Linked DNA regions of Saccharomyces cerevisiae S288C. The protein of the gene in region 1 purifies or fractionates together with the protein of each later gene. This does not show direct contact. Each region holds a gene or a part of one and is shown on either strand. Other genes may lie near its edges.

Region 1 (4,044 bases):
AGAAGAAAAGAAAGATTAAACGCCTCGAAAAATTTTTACAAGGTCGCGACACCTCCAAATTACCTGATCCTGAAAGGTGGCTGCCATTAAGAGACAGGTCTACTTATAGGCCAAAGAAAAAACAACAAGGTGCAAAACAAACTCAAGGTGGTGCTATGAACAAAAAATCAGAACAGGCCCTTGACATATCAAAGAAAGGGAAGCCCACTGTTAATAAAAAGCCTAAGAACAAGAAGAAGGGCCGTAAATAGAGCGTATAAAGATTTTTGTCATTAGTAATCCTCAAATGTTGTCAAGTTATGTAATATTGTATATGAAATGGAACTCGACTAATTCAAAAGAAAGGTCATCGAGGGGTTAGGCTCCCCATTTTATCGAACAACTCTTTCCTTTTAAGCGCTAATTATATGATTCTTTATTATACAGAAAAAAATACATTGTGAGAGATAACGCAAGCTGTAAGTGAAATGTACACGGGAATTCATCATCAGTCCTTCCCACTAAGTAAACAAGGTGTCTTCATCTCTCAAATACTCACCAATATCTGCTTGTCTGAAAGCAACTATACCAGTGGGTTGCATGTTTCTTGACTCAGAAGTACTTTTCGCACTGACACCGAACCCTAATGGCACATCATTCATTGCAAACACAATAACACCGGCGTGTTCTGGTATATCATCAGACATTTTACCCACATGTGCCTTTAACACATGATTACCGTATAAGAATGGCATCTCCCCATTAGGTTTAATCCATATCTTATATTTGGCATGCTTAGCCAATACTGTCAAAGAAGTAATATGTAACCTGAATTTTCCAGTTTTCGTGAATTTACCTAAACAAATACCCAGAGACATCAAGTTAGGTCTTGCTACACTAGTAGCCAATTTTGCAACATGATCGGGTACGTAATATACTCTATCCTTTTGTAATCTGAAGACATGAGGAAGTTCTTTATTATCCACTAAAAAAGAAATATTTCTACCAATATAGCCGGCGAGTTTTTCGAAAACAACCTTGGTCTCTTCTTCTGTTAGCTGTCTCATTATTGCACCTAACTATAGTTTCCCTCAATGGTTCTACTACTCGGAAATCTAGAATACGATCCAATCACTAAACCGTCAATTACCTCAATAATACATTGCTTACTTTAGTTCTAAGCTCATCGCATATTTCAAAAATTTTCATTACCGTACAGAGATATATTATTTTGATGCGGGTAACTATTAGCCGCTGAAATAATATTTTCTTTTTTTTTTTTTCTTTTGGCTTTGAAATTTTTCACTTTTAGTCATCGCTATAGTTCGAGAAATTTGAAATACAAGAAGTACTAAAAAAATAATAAAGGACAATAAAGTGCTAGTAAATAACAATTATAAGTGATATCAAGGATGTCTGAAGAGAATTTGAGGCCTGCCTATGACGATCAAGTTAATGAGGATGTCTACAAGAGAGGCGCTCAGAGCAAATTGACCAAAGCTCGTAAGGCAGACTTCGACGATGAAAAGGACAAAAAAAAGGATAATGACAAACACATAGATAAAAGACCAAAAAGCGGTCCTCGTTTGGATGAAAATGGCAATCCACTTCCCAAGGAGCCTCGTCTCCCAAAGAGAAAGGTGGCTGTTATGGTTGGTTACTGTGGTACTGGCTACCATGGTATGCAATATAATCCACCAAATCCAACCATCGAGTCTGCCCTATTCAAAGCATTTGTTGAAGCAGGTGCTATTTCCAAGGACAACTCCAACGATTTGAAAAAGAATGGATTCATGAGAGCTGCAAGAACTGATAAGGGTGTCCATGCTGGAGGTAATTTAATATCATTGAAAATGATTATTGAAGATCCTGATATCAAGCAGAAGATCAACGAAAAGTTACCGGAAGGGATAAGGGTATGGGATATCGAGCGTGTGAACAAGGCGTTTGATTGTAGAAAAATGTGCAGTTCACGTTGGTACGAATACTTATTACCAACTTATTCACTCATTGGCCCCAAACCTGGTTCTATACTTTATAGAGACATCGAAGAAAGTAAAACAGAATTACCTGGTGTATTAGATGAAGATTTGGAATCCAAAGAATTTTGGGAAGAGTTTAAAAAAGATGCGAATGAAAAATTTTCAACAGAAGAAATCGAAGCTATATTAGCATATGTTCCGCCCGCAAGAGATGAATTTGATATAAATGAAGAACTATACCAGAAGGTAAAAAAGTACAAGCAATTAGAAAATGCTCACCGTAGAAGATATCGTATATCCGCGGCAAAACTGGCCAAATTCCGTGCTTCTACAAGTCAATACCTTGGCGCTCATAACTTCCATAATTTTACATTAGGCAAGGACTTCAAAGAACCAAGTGCCATTCGATTTATGAAAGATATAAAAGTATCTGATCCATTTGTTATTGGCGATGCCCAAACAGAATGGATTTCCATCAAGATTCACGGCCAGTCTTTCATGCTACATCAAATTCGTAAGATGGTATCAATGGCAACCTTAATTACCCGTTGTGGTTGCCCCGTCGAACGCATTAGTCAGGCTTACGGACAGCAGAAGATTAATATTCCGAAGGCACCTGCATTAGGATTATTGTTAGAAGCTCCAGTATTTGAAGGTTATAATAAAAGACTAGAACAGTTTGGTTACAAGGCGATCGATTTTTCCAAATATCAAGACGAAGTGGATAAGTTCAAAATGAAGCATATCTACGATAAGATCTACAAGGAAGAGGTGGACGAAAATGTTTTTAATGCGTTCTTTAGTTATATTGATAGTTTCAACAAGGTTACTGGAGCACAGGGAGAAGAAACTGCCGATAAATCGGGACCTGCTGTGCAAAAGAGTATCTTCGAATTCTTGACAGCTAAGGGTATCCCAGGTCTTACTGATGCGCCCGAGAGCAATAAGAAGATTAAGCAAAGAAAAAGAATGGAAGAGGAGGAAGCTGCTAGTAAAAAGGCTGAAATATCCAGCACCACTCAGAGCAACGAACCTGAAGTACAACCGGAAGCGGCAGCTAATTAGGTTGCCCTTTCCTTCTTTCTTACCAACTTTAATTTCTAAGGCATTGACATTGAAATTGACATTGTCCTCTAATGTTTATAGAGCACCATTATTTGTTTTCGTTTTATATATTATTATATAATGGCACAGAATAATTTATAATTCTTTTTTTTTAAGTCATTGAACAGTCGCACTAACCAAAAGATTAAACACCACCAGAGAGTAGTTTTTCCAGCCTGGCAATCTCTTCTAAAGAAGTAGCTTCTGCTAACTGCTTTTTCAATTCATTTCTTCTCTCTACTGTCATCTTACTCACCACCAAATTCATGATCTCCATCGTTTTATCTCTGGATCCATTATCTCTTATTGCAGTATTTACTGGGCCCAACGTATCGCCGTCCGCCTGCCTTGGAAAGCTCATTGCGCTCTTTCTTTCCTCAGCTGTTACGTTTTGAAAGTCTAAAGTCTCTAAATGCGGTACTAATCGAAGTACATGTTCTCTATAATTGGCTAAATGACATACTTGATTCCCTATTAAAGTTAGATTCTTCAACGTCCTGGGCGCTCTACGCAACCTTTGAAGATCTTCAAACCTTCTTATGCTGTTATTCGATAATGTAAGGTTCTGTACATTCATAGGCAATAGGCGACCGTCTACTTCAACGATATTGTTTCGGCCCAACAGTAATGTATGTATATCGTCTCTTCTTGATAGATCTGGAATCATGATAAGGTCATTGTTTGTCAAATCCAAGATGTGCGTAGGTTTGGTCAAATGCTTTAAGCTGGATGGCATGGATTCTGAATCCGTTTCTAGCTGCAGGTCTCTTAAAATAACACATTTATCCACGTTATACTTGCCATTAAAATGATCAACATAATATTGCGGAGCATCAATAACTATGCTAGGGGTGAACTTCATTATTGCTTATAAAAACTGATATTTTCCAAGTCCTGTAGTTTCACTTCGACCTGTTGAAGGCTTGTTGGATGCAGAGTATGCGATTGGCCTAATATAAGTAAATGTCATCTATGATAA
Region 2 (6,001 bases), 220 kb from region 1:
CGGGCCCAAAAGCAGGAATAAGGTGAAAACCTGTGTCATTGGTGGTATCTTATTAATATAAAGACTCCAGAAGTATATCGCAATCAGTATGAAGACGAAGATAATGGCATGCAGCCACGTTAAGGCACATATGACCAACGTTATCAGTTGAATGTTTCTATTAAACGCATGGAAGAATATTTCTGACATTGTGAATGTTCCACAACTTGAAGCGACGACAACCAGCGGAATGATATCCAGTAGCAATACACTTTTCATGTTTTCGGATGCCATTTTGATATTATATGAAGGATAATTCCCAATCCCTTCCAAAGGGTAATAGTCATGCCAGATGAGAAACGAGATACCCCACGCTATTACTAGACAGACTGCGAGATCATACCACCACAAGACGTAAACAAATATCATCAAATTTCTGGCATTAGTGGGGCTCTTCGTCGTGTTCGCTTTCGAGAGTGCTCCTAAGAAATTTATAATTGTAACTAACCCCATGGGATAAGTACCCCAAAATAAATTGTGCTTCATATTTCTGAAAAAGTCATTAAAATATTCTCTGAAGCTTTTCTCCTTAATATAGACAATCAAATGTAATATTTGTAGTGCCTGCACAGCAATGAAAATAAGGCAAGCGATAGCAAACATGATGTAGGAGCATATTCTTAGCCACCTTGCAGGATATGGGAAGCTATATAGAATATTCGATGAAATGCCGACACCCATGACCATCATAAACATGAAGGGGTCAAACTGCCTCGTAAGAGCAAGTACCCAATTGGCAACCATTTTTTTCTTGTACTTGTCTTCTCTTACACTATAAAACGTTTTTAAATTGCGCGTATTGTCTGAGCTCAATCAACAATCGTTACTAGGGGAAAGCTGTAATTTGTGTGTTGTCTAAATGCGGAGAATTTGTTCAGCCAATATCACAAGTTTCAACTTAACAAGACAAGGATTAGAAATAAGAACTACACGCTGGTTGGCTATTCTTTTAGAACCTCTAGTTAAATAGGTAAAATAAGCAAAGTGAGCAAAAATAAGCAAAAGAAGTCAAAGACAACCCCAATGTGCCAAAGACGGCGATGAGTCTTCTGTTTTTTAAGATTCATGCACTCTCAGATTTTCGGCTACAGACGCGGCACAAGGATGAAAAAAAAAAAATGATAGTTTGCAGGAATTTATCAGTCAATTGATGGGAGACATCGCTATTGTTGCCTTATACGATACACTGCAAAAACGATAACAATTTCTTATTTGTCAACCTCGTGGGAGACTCGATAGGTTGCATGATGATGTGTCACAAAAAAGTAGAAGTGTCATCTTGACGCTATCCCACCCCTTCTTTTTCCACATGCTTAATTATTTGTATACATCCAGTGACATACAAAAAAATAGTAGAACATGGAGGGGTCGGCTTGTTGGATAATTTAAATCGGTTTATTATTATTATACAGATTAAATAAAATTTTTTTAAAAAAAAGATACAGAAAAAGTGAGAAAGAAAGAAAAAGAAACCACTAATAGTGAGAGAGATAATCAAATGTAAATGGTAATCCTACCAGCCCAAAAAGATTAGAATGTCGTGTACGTACATCCACATTTTATATTCATATTTTTTTTAAAGTACATGCAAAAGAAAGAATAAGAAGTAGAGAAATCAACGGAAATCTGTCTTACCGACACCACGCTTACCACTGAATAAATGCTTTGATAAGGAAACAGCATTGTGTCTATCAGATTCACCTTGCTTGGCATGTCTATTTCTTTCTCTTCTTTCCATCTTGGCCATCCTGTCGGCCTTGGATCTCATGGAGCCATCAGCAACACCATCCAACAGTCTATCGGTTTGTCTCAACTTGACACCGTTTTCAGTGGAAGCTGTCAAAGCATCTTGGTCGCCAAAAACAACATCAGAACCTCTTTCAACATAACGGTTCTTACGAGCAGCACGGTTCTGTTTATCTTGTAAGGCTGACATGTCATGGCCCAAAGTGGACATGTGTTCTTCCATTTTACCAAAGGACTTAGTTAGTTTAGAACGTGGCATGATAGCTTTGTTCTTCAAGGACTTCCTATTTCTTGCTTCAGCAATCATCGTCTTTTGTCTATTTCTAATCCATGCAGCTTTCTCCTTGATATCATCTACTTCGGATGCTTCGAAACCGTCGTAGATTTCTTCCTCATCGTCAGAATTGTAGAACCCTTCGTTCTCCAATTTTTCTTCTTCTTCTTCAAGAGCCTGCAGTTTAGCAGCGATTTCAGGGTCCAAGAAATCATAAACATTCTTACCATCCAAGATTTCTGGCATGATGTCATTCTTCCACTCATCATCTTCTAATAGGTACTTGTCCTTCAAGTTAACATTGAAGACACCAGCACCACCATTTTCAGCTTCGATGTCTCTGGCCAACTTTCTCCTGTTTGGATCTTCAGGGTCGTATTTCTTCAAATTCTTGACAGATTCTGGGATAAATGGTGTTCTCTTGACATCATCTCTTGCTTGAGGTTGAGCAACATGAATCTTGTTCAGAACATTGTTGATTCTAGACTGAGATTTCAACTTATTCTCAATTCTAGAAGCCAATAGTTTTTCACATGCTTTGTTTCTAACTTCCATAACGTTTTCTTCCAGTTGGCATGAAGAAGTCATGATTTCAACACCTGGAACCTCCTTAACAGATTCCAGTAATTGTGCACGCTCTTCGTCTAAATCCTCCGGTCTGATAATGTCGGTTTTGTTGATAACAACCATGACAGACTTGTTGGCGAATAGAGGCTTGATGGAGTGGAATAGTTTAACTTGAGCTTCGATGGTGAAACCACATTGTTCGGAAAGATCCATGAAGTACAAAACACAAGAACGTAAATGGGCAATGGCATAAATCGATTGCATTTCAATGTTGTTCATTTCTTCAGTGGGTCTATCTAGGATACCAGGGGTGTCAATAGCTTGAAATCTCAAGTATTTGTAGTCAAAATGACCAACGTATAAACTCTTGGTTGTGAAAGCATATGGTTGAACATCGACGTCTGATTTGGTAATGCATCTCAAAAACGAGGACTTACCGACATTTGGATAACCACAGATCAGCAAGGTTCTGGTATTTGGGTCGATCGATGGTAATCTACCAATGTGCTGTCTGACTTGTTCCAAATAGGCCAATGGGTCCCTCAATTTCTTGACTATAGTTGCCATTCTACCTAAAGCGGCCCTTTTCAATTGTTTACATTGAAATAAAGATTGACCGAATTTTAGCAATCTGACATAATCTCTGGCGACTTGTTCCACAAGGGACTTCGCACGAGATATAGCTGCCAAAGATATCTTGTAATGATTCTTTTCGTATAGGGTGTCCATCAAATCTCTATGGAAAGGATGCACGTCATTGATGTTAGGAAAACCCTTTAAAATGTCCTCAAATTTTTCCACGAAACCTTCACCTGTGTATTTAACTTTACGCATATAGAACGCTCTGATTCTTGTAATCTTGAAACCAGGTCTGATCACAGTTGGTGTCTTTCTCTGGGTTCTGTTCAAGACAATATCCAGCAAATCATTTGCTGGAGCGACAGTAGGGATATCCTTCCATGAAAGTTGCATCTTCGGTATAGGAGGGAGATGTGTTTGCTTTTGGAGGGTACACTTACTTTTTTATAAACGCTGCAACTCCTAAATCTGAAGTGTATTCTTTATATTGTATTAGATGAGGTAGTACATAGGTGAAAATTTTTCTTTGCGATGAGCTGCGGAAAAAACTTTTCGTTCAGTTGAAAAAAAAAAAGAAAGTGAAGATCGTGTGCGACGGAATAGACGTGTCGTTTTCCCAATACTGGCATACAAATCAAGAGGGAGAAGAGTGGGCTTTTATAATTGCAGTTGAATGCAGTATGGTAGCCGAGCAAACACAGGAGAACATGTCAGCCGTAGGTCCAGGTAGCAATGCAGGTGCTAGTGTCAATGGCGGATCTGCTACAGCCATTGCTACTCTTTTACGCAACCATAAGGAGTTGAAGCAAAGGCAGGGTTTATTCCAGGCCAAGCAGACAGACTTCTTCCGTTACAAGAGATTTGTTAGGGCACTGCATTCTGAGGAGTATGCCAACAAATCTGCAAGACAGCCAGAGATATATCCAACTATACCTTCTAACAAGATCGAAGACCAGCTTAAGTCACGTGAAATCTTTATTCAACTTATAAAGGCACAAATGGTGATCCCAGTGAAAAAATTGCATAGTCAAGAATGCAAAGAGCATGGATTGAAGCCAAGCAAGGACTTTCCGCACTTGATTGTTTCGAATAAAGCACAATTGGAAGCCGATGAATACTTTGTTTGGAACTATAACCCTAGAACCTACATGGATTACTTGATCGTCATTGGTGTCGTGTCCATCATATTGGCGCTCGTATGCTACCCATTGTGGCCGCGCTCCATGAGACGCGGCTCCTATTATGTGTCTCTGGGTGCCTTCGGCATCTTAGCAGGCTTCTTTGCTGTCGCTATCCTGAGATTGATATTATATGTTTTGTCATTAATTGTCTACAAAGATGTTGGTGGGTTCTGGATCTTTCCCAACCTGTTCGAAGATTGCGGTGTACTAGAGAGTTTTAAGCCACTTTACGGTTTTGGTGAGAAGGATACTTATAGTTACAAAAAGAAACTGAAAAGAATGAAGAAGAAACAAGCCAAGAGAGAAAGCAATAAGAAGAAAGCCATCAATGAAAAAGCCGAACAAAACTGAACTTCCATTATCCTGTATAGCTCTACTGTATAAACCTTCTATATTGTAACCTCATGAACTCGCACATGTACAAACCTTCAAGAGAACCGGCACCAAAGCGCTACCATCTGGTTGCTTCATCGCTTATAGTGAGTAGTTTTAGATTTGAAGGTTATCGCTCCTGGCAAAAATCTGAATCCACACACCGCATAATTAGCGGTTATTATTACTCAATTTCCGGCCGGCTTTAATATACTTTCACCGAAAGGTCTCTATATAGAAGCTATTTGCTGACACTTGCTTACAGGAATCGATTATATAAGAAGGGTTCTGCATCTGGTTGCCTACTTAGTTTTCGGTATTTTTGAAGATTAGCAAAAAGATCAAGATATCAAGTATTTTCATATTTGTCATTTTAATGTTTCGCTCGGGTTACTATCCAACTGTCACTCCTAGCCATTGGGGCTATAACGGCACCGTCAAACATGTACTGGGAGAGAAAGGAACCAAGTCTTTGGCTTTCAGAGATTCTAAGCGCCAAATTCCTCTTCATGAATTCGTAACCAAACACGTGCCTACACTCAAAGATGGTGCAAATTTTAGGTTAAACAGCTTGCTTTTCACAGGTTACTTACAGACCCTTTATTTGTCAGCCGGTGATTTTTCCAAAAAATTTCAGGTATTTTATGGAAGAGAGATTATAAAATTTTCTGATGGAGGGGTCTGCACTGCAGATTGGGTTATGCCTGAATGGGAGCAAACATATTCATTAAATGCTGAAAAGGCTAGTTTTAACGAGAAACAATTTTCGAACGATGAAAAGGCCACCCATCCAAAGGGTTGGCCTCGTCTTCACCCGAGAACTAGATATCTATCCTCTGAGGAACTTGAAAAATGTCATTCTAAGGGTTATTCTTACCCTTTAGTGGTAGTACTTCATGGTCTTGCAGGGGGAAGCCATGAGCCTCTCATCAGGGCATTATCTGAAGATCTATCAAAAGTCGGTGACGGTAAATTCCAAGTGGTAGTCCTTAATGCTAGAGGTTGCTCAAGATCTAAAGTCACCACCCGTAGAATCTTTACCGCATTACACACAGGTGATGTGAGAGAATTTTTGAACCACCAAAAAGCTCTATTTCCGCAAAGAAAAATATATGCAGTCGGAACATCATTTGGAGCAGCCATGCTAACGAACTACTTAGGTGAAGAAGGAGATAACTGTCCATTAAATGCTGCAGTCGCTCTCTCAAACCCATGGGATTTCGTACACACTTGGGACAAGTTG
Region 3 (4,896 bases), on another chromosome or scaffold:
GTTCGAAAATCATTGATGTAACAGTATATTTGTATCCTAACGTGAATCCCAAATTTAACTATACTACCATAAGTGTTTTAGTGACCTCACATATAAACGATATTTTGGTAAAATATTGCAAAATGAAAAATATGGATCCTAATGAATATGCATTAAAAGTTCTAGGAAAGAACTATATACTGGACTTGAATGATACGGTATTAAGGCTCGATGGTATTAATAAGGTGGAACTCATCTCTAAAAAAGATGCAAGGGAGTTGCATTTGGAAAAAATGAAACCTGACCTAAAGAAGCCCGTTTTGCCAACGATCCAAAGTAATGATCTAACTCCGTTAACTTTGGAGCCTCTGAACTCTTATCTCAAAGCAGATGCTGGAGGGGCTGTGGCTGCCATTCCTGAAAACACGAAAGTTACATCCAAAGCTAAGAAGATATCCACGAAGTATAAGCTGGGCTTGGCAAAGCAGCATTCGTCATCAAGTGTTGCTAGTGGAAGTGTTTCAACGGCTGGCGGTCTCGCCAATGGAAATGGGTTTTTCAAGAACAAGAATTCATCCAAATCCTCTTTGCATGGGACACTGCAGTTTCATAATATAAACCGTTCTCAGAGTACGATGGAGCACACGCCTGACACTCCAAATGGAGTTGGAGATAACTTCCAAGATCTTTTTACCGGAGCGTATCATAAATATAAGGTATGGAGAAGGCAGCAAATGTCATTTATAAACAAGCATGAAAGAACACTAGCCATTGATGGCGACTACATATACATTGTACCCCCGGAGGGACGTATACATTGGCATGATAATGTAAAGACTAAGTCGTTACACATTAGTCAAGTGGTTCTTGTCAAAAAATCCAAAAGAGTCCCTGAGCATTTCAAAATTTTCGTAAGAAGAGAGGGGCAAGATGATATCAAAAGGTACTACTTTGAAGCAGTTTCAGGTCAAGAGTGTACTGAGATCGTGACGCGATTACAAAACTTATTAAGCGCTTATAGAATGAATCATAAATAAGTAAAACCCATTATACTGCATCTTACCAGCATTAATTTTGGTTTATATCTAAATATGGTATAGAAAATACTTCATCGCGATCTCGATGGTGATTGGTCAGAGTCCGCTTCTCGATGCAAAGGGAAAAAAAAGAGCTTTTTAGGAGCAAGTCCCCCCATAGAGCACATAACTCGTTAGCATTGAATAAGGCCAGGTGACTTCAAATAATAATTTATAACTACGACAATGGGTGCTGCTTATCATTTCATGGGGAAAGCTATCCCTCCACACCAACTAGCCATTGGGACATTAGGACTGCTAGGTTTATTGGTTGTTCCAAATCCTTTTAAAAGCGCAAAGCCAAAAACAGTCGACATCAAAACAGACAACAAAGACGAGGAAAAATTCATTGAAAACTACTTAAAGAAACATTCGGAAAAGCAAGATGCGTAAATATAGCTTGATTGCTGCGCGGTTGAAGATCTTTTGTACATACAATAAATATTCTTTATATATACAGCTTTCGATATTCAAGATTTAAACATTAAATTATTAAAAAGAGGTCTATAACTAGACAGTTGCTACATCCACTCTTTTCTTGTTATATCTTTTTAATATACAATGTTATGTAAAACTCTCTGATAGTATTATGCTTATTATTTAAACAAGGCATCGTTTGATAAAGGATCGGCGGCAAGAACATTCTCTCTTCTCTTAATTTTTCTTTCCACAGCAGCTTCAGCTCTAGACTTTGCCTCCTCAGCAGCTTGTTGTTTAATTTGAGCTCTTACGACGTTTGGCGAAACATATTGTTTATTTTCATAGATCTTTGGACCACCAAATGAACCTTCTAGGATCAAAATGACAGTCATAACAAACCTAGGGCCAATTTCCACTAATGATATGTCTTCTTCGCCATCTTCATATTCTTCTTTGTTCTTAGTACTGTGTGAGATCTCATATGTCCTCACCCATATTTTATCATCTACAATACTGAAGGACATGACGTGATCAATAAATGGCTTAGATTTTCTAGCATTTGGTGGTACACCAAAATTATGCACTAGCAACTCCTTAATTAATTGGTAGTGTGGGGAGGATTCGAAACGTTGATCAAACGACAATACCGGACGAGAACCCTTTAAACAGTTACCTGTAAAATTCAACTCATCCATAGTATGCAAGTTTTGAATGTAAAATTTTATAGTTGGCCCATTTGGCGGCTTGGATAACCATAGATACAAATCTTGGTGTTTTCTGGCCTCAAAGAATAGAACATTATTACAATTGTACAACTCAGCGATTTCGTTCAACTGTTGAAGATCCTTTTTAGTATCCAATTTTGGCTCCTTTCTGGAATGAGGCAATAATCCGCTTAAGTCTTGAATTAAATGACGATGTCTATAGTTAACACCTCTACTCGAAATCAGAAGAGTTCTTTGCTTGTTCATAAATTGCTTGACATTGCCTTGCTTCTTTTCAGATTTATTATCTTTGCTCTTTCCTGCGAGGGCTTTGTAGATAGAAGACATCTTTGGTTGAACTCTTTCAACACCTGACGAATGTATAAAGAAAGACGTGAAGCAAAATAAGGCTAAGTAACCTTCTAACTCGTAAATATTATAGCAATTTCTGTATCTTTTTAGGTGATAGATTCTTTGAGAACCATCGCGATGAGCATCTAAAATTTTTCAGTCACCTTTAACGAAAATCACTGTCCACGGACCGCCGAGGGCTTTAGGAAAATAAATAATAAATGTCAGCTGCAACAGAATTCATTGGCGAAGCAACGATACATAACGAGCTCGGTACAGCAATCATCGCATCGAAGCATGTCCGACAAGATACAGGAGGAGATATTAGGACTAGTAAGCAGGTCCAACTTCAAACAATGCTATGCAAAACTGGGGCAATTGCAAAAACAATTTCCCAATGCGTTGTACTTCAAGATTTTGGAAACCTATGTTAAATTCAAGCAGTCACCTGGTAAGTTCGATTACAATAAACTGCTAGAAGAACCATATGGGCTGAAAGGGACAACGATTACGGGCGACACGCGTTCCTTGGAGTTTTTGCACAACTTCTTCGTAGAGTTAGGGAAATACGACGAAGCATTGCACGTGTATGAAAGAGGAAATTTCAAATTCCCTAGCTACGAATTGTCTTATCACTGGTTTATGAAAGCATTGGAAGATTCCAATTATAACCAAATGAGCAAAGCATCTCTACAGCTAGCTAAATACAGTGACAGTGGAAACCTGCCTAAAAGAGCATATTATTTTTGGAATGCAATCTCGATTTTAGCCGTATCAAGGTTTCAGGAAAACACTCTTTCAGATCCCAAGAAAATTTTGCTCTCCAGGCTAGCGCGCCAGTCTTTGTTAGACTTGAAACCATTTCAAAATGTTCAAGAGATTATAGTTTATTGTTTGGTGTTGGATGAACTATTCCCTCAATCTAGAGAAATCTCGGAAGAGATTGTTGCGATTACCTTTGCCAATTTTGATACTTCAGTAAACTTGTATTTGAAAAACTTTATCTTGAAGCATACCAAGTTATTGAATTCTCCACAAAAACTTTTTGAAGTTTGTTCAAAACTTATTGAAAAGGGCCTTGATGATTATGAATTGATCACAAACTTGATTGATGCTGCCTACAAACTTTCTAAATCTAAAGACGAAGTCAAACAATGGATTGATGAAAATTTGGGAGACTCAAGGAATACTCGATTGGCGCGCTTGAAACTTGATATAATGTACACCGATTCGGTTTCGGAATCATCTTTGTCGTACTATTTATCAAAGTACCATAACAAACCTTGTTGTTCAATCGATTTGAATCATTACAGCGGCCACATTAACATAGATATGCTTAAGAGCATTATGTCTAAGTACGATCCAGAGGATAAGGATTTGATTCATCATTGTAATATTCTAGAATTGGGACTTATTGGAAGCGACTCAATCAATAACTATAACAAGTTTAAGGGGACCCTGGAAAAAAAATCGGTAACGGATTATTCCTCCTGTTCTACATTCTTATTAGAAATAGTCAAGGACAAGTGCAAGAAAACTAATCCTGAATTGAAAGACGTGCTTTTGTGTATAACGATATTGGAAAATTACCAAGCCAAGGACCCTCATAACTTCGATACTATGTGCTGGCTGATTGTTTTATACATGTACCTGGGTTTAGTTCCCGATGCTTATTTCCATTTCATAAACCTAAAGATTAAAAACGTTCAAACAGATTCCCTAGATTACATGATATTCTCGAGATTTTCTACTTTGTTCCCGAATAAACAGAGCGATTTTTACTCCAAGACATTCCATGAACATAATAATTTATACGATACATCACTGGCTAATTTACCAAGATATATTCAGGTGGCATTCGAAAGAAATTCATATAGCAAAATACTAGGAATGCTCGAGATGAGGGATAAACTAATGAAATCCTATACAAGATGGACCAAAACTTTAGAAAACTTACAGTTCTCACGTTTATGCAACGACAAGCGCGGCCACCTACTACAAAAATTACACGAAGATTGGAGATCTTTAGAAATGACGCAAAGTGTATCATTTTCTGACAATAGAGACTTTTCCATATTAGATGAAAATTTTGCCCAATTTCTTAACCGTGGTAAAATTTTGGAATATGCTAACTTGAATGAAGAATCAATTTTTCTAACTTTGATAAGAGAACTTATTATTGAAGCTTTGCCAAATGGGGAGAAAACGGAACAAATAAGTGCGCTCTTAAAAAAACTTCCATCAATTAACCTTGAAGAGTTGTTGAATAATAATTTAACTGAAGTGGAGTCAGCGTCATTTCTGATTTTTTTCGAAATTTACGAAAATAACGGTAAAAATCTACATGATTTAATTTCTAGGTTGAT
Region 4 (4,202 bases), on another chromosome or scaffold:
GAAAGAACGTATTGTGAAGGAATTCACTGGATTCCTTCCTACCGGTACCAATATCACTGTAAATATGTCTTCAGATCCTTCATTGGATGCCTGGAAGGGTATGGCAGCTCTAGCACGAAACGAAGAACAGTATAGGAAAACAGTTATCAGTAAGAAAGAATACGAAGAGTACGGTCCAGAGTACATCAAAGAGCATAAGTTAGGGAATACGAAGTATTTTGAAGACTAAGGAGACAGCAAACTGAAACGCCTTAAAAACAAAAAAAGAGAAATAAATAGAGATATATGTAATACTATATTGGCAACGAATATTAATAAGTAATATCATCGCCTTTTTTCTTAGTGCTGTTTACAAATCGGCTTTATTATTTCTATTTTGAATTTAATATACAGTGAGACATATTTGAAATTGATATATATATATATATATATATATGTAGACAGAGAAAGATTAGAGAGAGAAAACTATGCTAACATGATGCCACTACGTTTGTGGGAACTTATTTTTCGTTAGAAGGTCTTTTAGCTTTTGGATTGACACCCTTTTTCAAAAGATTGTTTTTCACAGACTTTTCAATGTACTTATCGTCTTCTTCGTCCTCGAAGGTTGCGAAGTCAGAGTGAATGATACCTTCTTCCAAAGCTTCCTTTCTAGCAGCAGTTTCCTTTTCTTTTGCACTTGCTTGGTTATCATCAAACGAAGATGGACCGATCTTTTGGAATTTAGCGACAAAGAACCCATCGACGTTGTACGTATGTGGATAGTACCTCCTCGCTAATTTCACACTAGGATGAAACTTTTTGCCTCTGTAACTAGTAAACGCTTCTTTACCGATCGCTAAACCAGTATCGACTAACTTGACATTCGGTCTTTTTCTCAATGCATAGTCTATGACAGCTTCGTCCTCTTCCACTGCAACAGAACATGTCGAATATACTATTACACCACCATGTTTCGAGTTGCAATCAACAGAATCAATGGCGGATAGAAGCAATTGTTTTTGTAGATGTGGAATTTGAATGAAGTCCTTCTCGGTACGAGACACCTTGACAGATTGATCCTTACCGATAACACCAGTACCGGAACATGGGGCATCCAGTAAAATTCTGTCAAAACCTCCAATTACCTTAGGGAACTCACGGGCATCGTAATTGCATACAATAGTGTTGGTACAGCCTAGACGGTGGATATTAGCAATTAAAGATTTTGTTCTAGATTTATTGGCGTCGTTAGCGAAAACACAACCTGTGTTTTTCATCATAGCTGATATATAAGTGGTCTTACCACCTGGAGCAGCTGCCATATCCAAGATACGCTCATTTTCATGAGGATCTAGAGCAATAACTGGTAGAAAAGATGATGCCGCTTGTAAAATATAGTGACCTGCCAAATATTCTGGCGTAGCACCAATTGGGACTTGGGAATCGAATATTTGAAGACCAACTTTAGTCCAAGAACCAATAGGTTGTAGATTAACACCTCTATTCACAAGAGTTTGAGCTAAGTCTCTCCTTCTGGTCTTCAAGGTGTTGGTTCTGATGGTTATTGGTCTTGCAATTTCATTGGCTTCGAAAAACTCCATCGCCTCTGCTGGTGAGAATAGATTGAATAACTTTTCCGCCAAAAATGGTGTATAACCAAAGTACTCACAAATATCTTTCAAAAGTCTGTCAACGTATTCTCCTCTCGATCTGCCTTCTGCACCAAGAGTCTTAAAATTTTCCAAAACCTTTACAATTTCAATCATTCTTGTTCTTGTGGAAGTTAAATTAGGAGTTTCTTGTGCCATCATTTCTTCCTGCTCCTCAGTGGGCAATATGTCTGCTCTTGGTTGCATGTTCTCCGCTTCCACTAACTCCATTTCGGCTTCTTCAGCTTCTTCAGCTTCTTCTTCATCAAGTTTCTTAGAAAGAGCTTCCATGTTTTGTGCATTTAGTTCTTCAAGATCAGCCTCATCGTCGTCATCTGAAAAAATTGGGTGGGCGTCATTATCTTCATCTTCATCGTAATCATATTCTTGTTCCAAGTCAAATTCATCTTTTAGTTCTTCATCCACCAATCCTGCTTCATCGTCATCTTCTTCATCATCAAATAAAGATTTCCTGGCTTTTGATAATTCTTCAAGATCAACTTCTGGCAAATCCTTATCCTCTTCAACAACTTCTTCCTCCTCTTTTCTAGATTTCTTGAATGGCTTCGACTTCTTTTTCTTTCTATCAGAAACTTCATCCCCTTGCGTGGTAGAAGGTCTCTTTCCTTTTTCTAGCTTTCTATTAGCCTTCTTTTCCTTTCTTGCCTGAAACTCCTCCAGGGTTGGTGGGGCGGCTTGCTTGTTCTTATGACGTCTACTACCCATTTCCTATTATATGTATATGTAATTCTAATATTAGCCAACACAAGGGGAATTCCGCCAGAATTACAAATCTATATACCTTAGCGACAACTGTATTTGCAGCTCAGCTCATCTTAAACTTATTCTGCGATGAGATGAAAATTTTTTTCAGAAAACGTGAAACTGGGTAACGGTTTTGTAAAATCTGAAAAATTTCATCAAAAAAAAAAAAAAAGTCGATGAGGTGTATAATAACAATAATAATATTCAACTTTAAATTCTTTGGCACGTTGGATCCTACTCACATTGTTGCAAACGAATTGGACAAAAAAACTTTGAATTTAGTGCACAATGAATGCTTTGACAACCATAGATTTTAATCAGCACGTTATCGTCCGGCTGCCATCAAAAAATTACAAGATAGTGGAACTAAAGCCCAACACCTCTGTATCATTAGGAAAATTCGGTGCTTTCGAGGTTAATGACATAATTGGTTATCCTTTCGGGTTGACTTTCGAGATATATTATGATGGCGAAGAGGTTTCATCCGATGAAAATAGAGATTCGAAACCAAAGAACAAAATTCCCATCGGGAAAGTAAGGCTATTATCGCAGGAGATCAAAGATGTCAATAATGATAAAGACGATGGTCAAAGCGAGCCTCCTTTATCTATTAAGGAAAAATCTGTGTCTCTTGAATTGTCTAGCATTGACAGCAGTGCTACGAATCAGAATCTGGTTAACATGGGCAGCAAGGCCCAAGAGTTAACCGTTGAAGAAATTGAAAAAATGAAACAAGAATCTTTATCTAGTAAAGAAATAATCGACAAAATTATCAAATCTCACAAAAGTTTTCACAACAAGACCGTATATTCTCAAGAGAAATATGTGAATAGGAAGAAACAAAAATTCGCCAAGTACTTCACCGTTGAGTATTTAAGTAGCTCTAACCTTTTACAATTCTTAATCGACAAAGGCGATATCCAAAGGGTATTGGATATGTCTCAGGAATCGATGGGGATGCTGTTAAATCTTGCGAACATCCAATCAGAAGGCAACTATCTCTGTATGGATGAAACGGGTGGGTTATTGGTTTACTTTCTGTTGGAAAGAATGTTTGGCGGTGACAATGAAAGCAAATCCAAGGGCAAAGTCATAGTTATTCACGAAAATGAACATGCCAACTTGGATTTGCTGAAGTTTGCTAATTATTCTGAGAAATTTATTAAAGAGCATGTACACACCATTTCTCTATTAGATTTTTTTGAACCGCCTACACTACAAGAGATTCAGAGCAGATTTACACCATTACCTAAAGAAGAAGCCCGTGCATTAAAAGGTGGTAAGAAAAACTCGTACTACCGAAAACTCAGATGGTACAATACACAATGGCAAATTTTAGAACTAACAGGAGAATTCCTATATGACGGTCTTGTAATGGCTACTACACTACATTTACCAACACTAGTGCCAAAGTTGGCCGAAAAAATCCATGGTTCAAGGCCGATTGTATGCTATGGTCAATTCAAAGAAACTTTGTTGGAATTAGCTCATACTTTATATTCAGACCTCAGGTTTTTAGCACCATCAATTTTGGAAACTAGATGTAGGCCGTACCAAAGTATAAGGGGTAAGCTACACCCTCTGATGACCATGAAAGGTGGTGGTGGATATCTAATGTGGTGTCACAGAGTCATCCCTGCTCCTGAACCTGTATCGGAAAACGCGACTGCAGCTGACTCCAGTGAAAAGCTTGCTGAACATGGAGCTAAGAAACAAAAAATATAAATGTCCACAGAGTGTTCCGTTTGATAACTTCCAACAAAAAAACCTGAGAATATATATATTTACATTTATATACTTAGTTGC

The links.
Region 2: the proteins of NIP7 (region 1) and NOG1 purify together in Saccharomyces cerevisiae (affinity purification with mass spectrometry; 4 studies listed by BioGRID). This does not show direct contact.
Region 3: the proteins of NIP7 (region 1) and BRX1 purify together in Saccharomyces cerevisiae (affinity purification with mass spectrometry; 3 studies listed by BioGRID, with this or other methods). This does not show direct contact.
Region 4: the proteins of NIP7 (region 1) and NOP2 purify together in Saccharomyces cerevisiae (affinity purification with mass spectrometry; 7 studies listed by BioGRID). This does not show direct contact.

Annotation. Positions count from the first base shown.
Region 1 is NC_001148.4:150,497-154,540, reverse strand, and holds NIP7 (ribosome biosynthesis protein NIP7), read right to left. Parts: upstream 1,047-4,044; coding exon 501-1,046; downstream 1-500. Other genes in the region: signal recognition particle subunit SRP72, read left to right, coding at 1-251; pseudouridine synthase PUS1, read left to right, coding at 1,392-3,026; U2 snRNP complex subunit LEA1, read right to left, coding at 3,211-3,927. UniProt on the Saccharomyces cerevisiae protein: Required for proper 27S pre-rRNA processing and 60S ribosome subunit assembly.
Region 2 is NC_001148.4:368,575-374,575, reverse strand, and holds NOG1 (putative GTPase NOG1), read right to left. Parts: upstream 3,599-6,001; coding exon 1,655-3,598; downstream 1-1,654. Other genes in the region: SSU1 (Ssu1p), read right to left, coding at 1-783; Sec63 complex subunit SEC62, read left to right, coding at 3,913-4,737; EEB1 (medium-chain fatty acid ethyl ester synthase/esterase), read left to right, coding at 5,135-6,001. UniProt on the Saccharomyces cerevisiae protein: Involved in the biogenesis of the 60S ribosomal subunit.
Region 3 is NC_001147.6:184,197-189,092, forward strand, and holds BRX1 (ribosome biogenesis protein BRX1), read right to left. Parts: upstream 2,528-4,896; coding exon 1,652-2,527; downstream 1-1,651. Other genes in the region: AVO1 (Avo1p), read left to right, coding at 1-1,016; ATP19 (F1F0 ATP synthase subunit k), read left to right, coding at 1,242-1,448; MDM20 (Mdm20p), read left to right, coding at 2,828-4,896. UniProt on the Saccharomyces cerevisiae protein: Required for biogenesis of the 60S ribosomal subunit.
Region 4 is NC_001146.8:508,695-512,896, reverse strand, and holds NOP2 (rRNA (cytosine-C5-)-methyltransferase NOP2), read right to left. Parts: upstream 2,358-4,202; coding exon 501-2,357; downstream 1-500. Other genes in the region: actin-related protein ARP5, read left to right, coding at 1-229; tRNA 1-methyladenosine methyltransferase subunit GCD10, read left to right, coding at 2,685-4,121; MTQ1 (S-adenosylmethionine-dependent methyltransferase), read right to left, coding at 4,195-4,202. UniProt on the Saccharomyces cerevisiae protein: S-adenosyl-L-methionine-dependent methyltransferase that specifically methylates the C(5) position of cytosine 2870 (m5C2870) in 25S rRNA. Required for 60S ribosomal subunit synthesis and processing.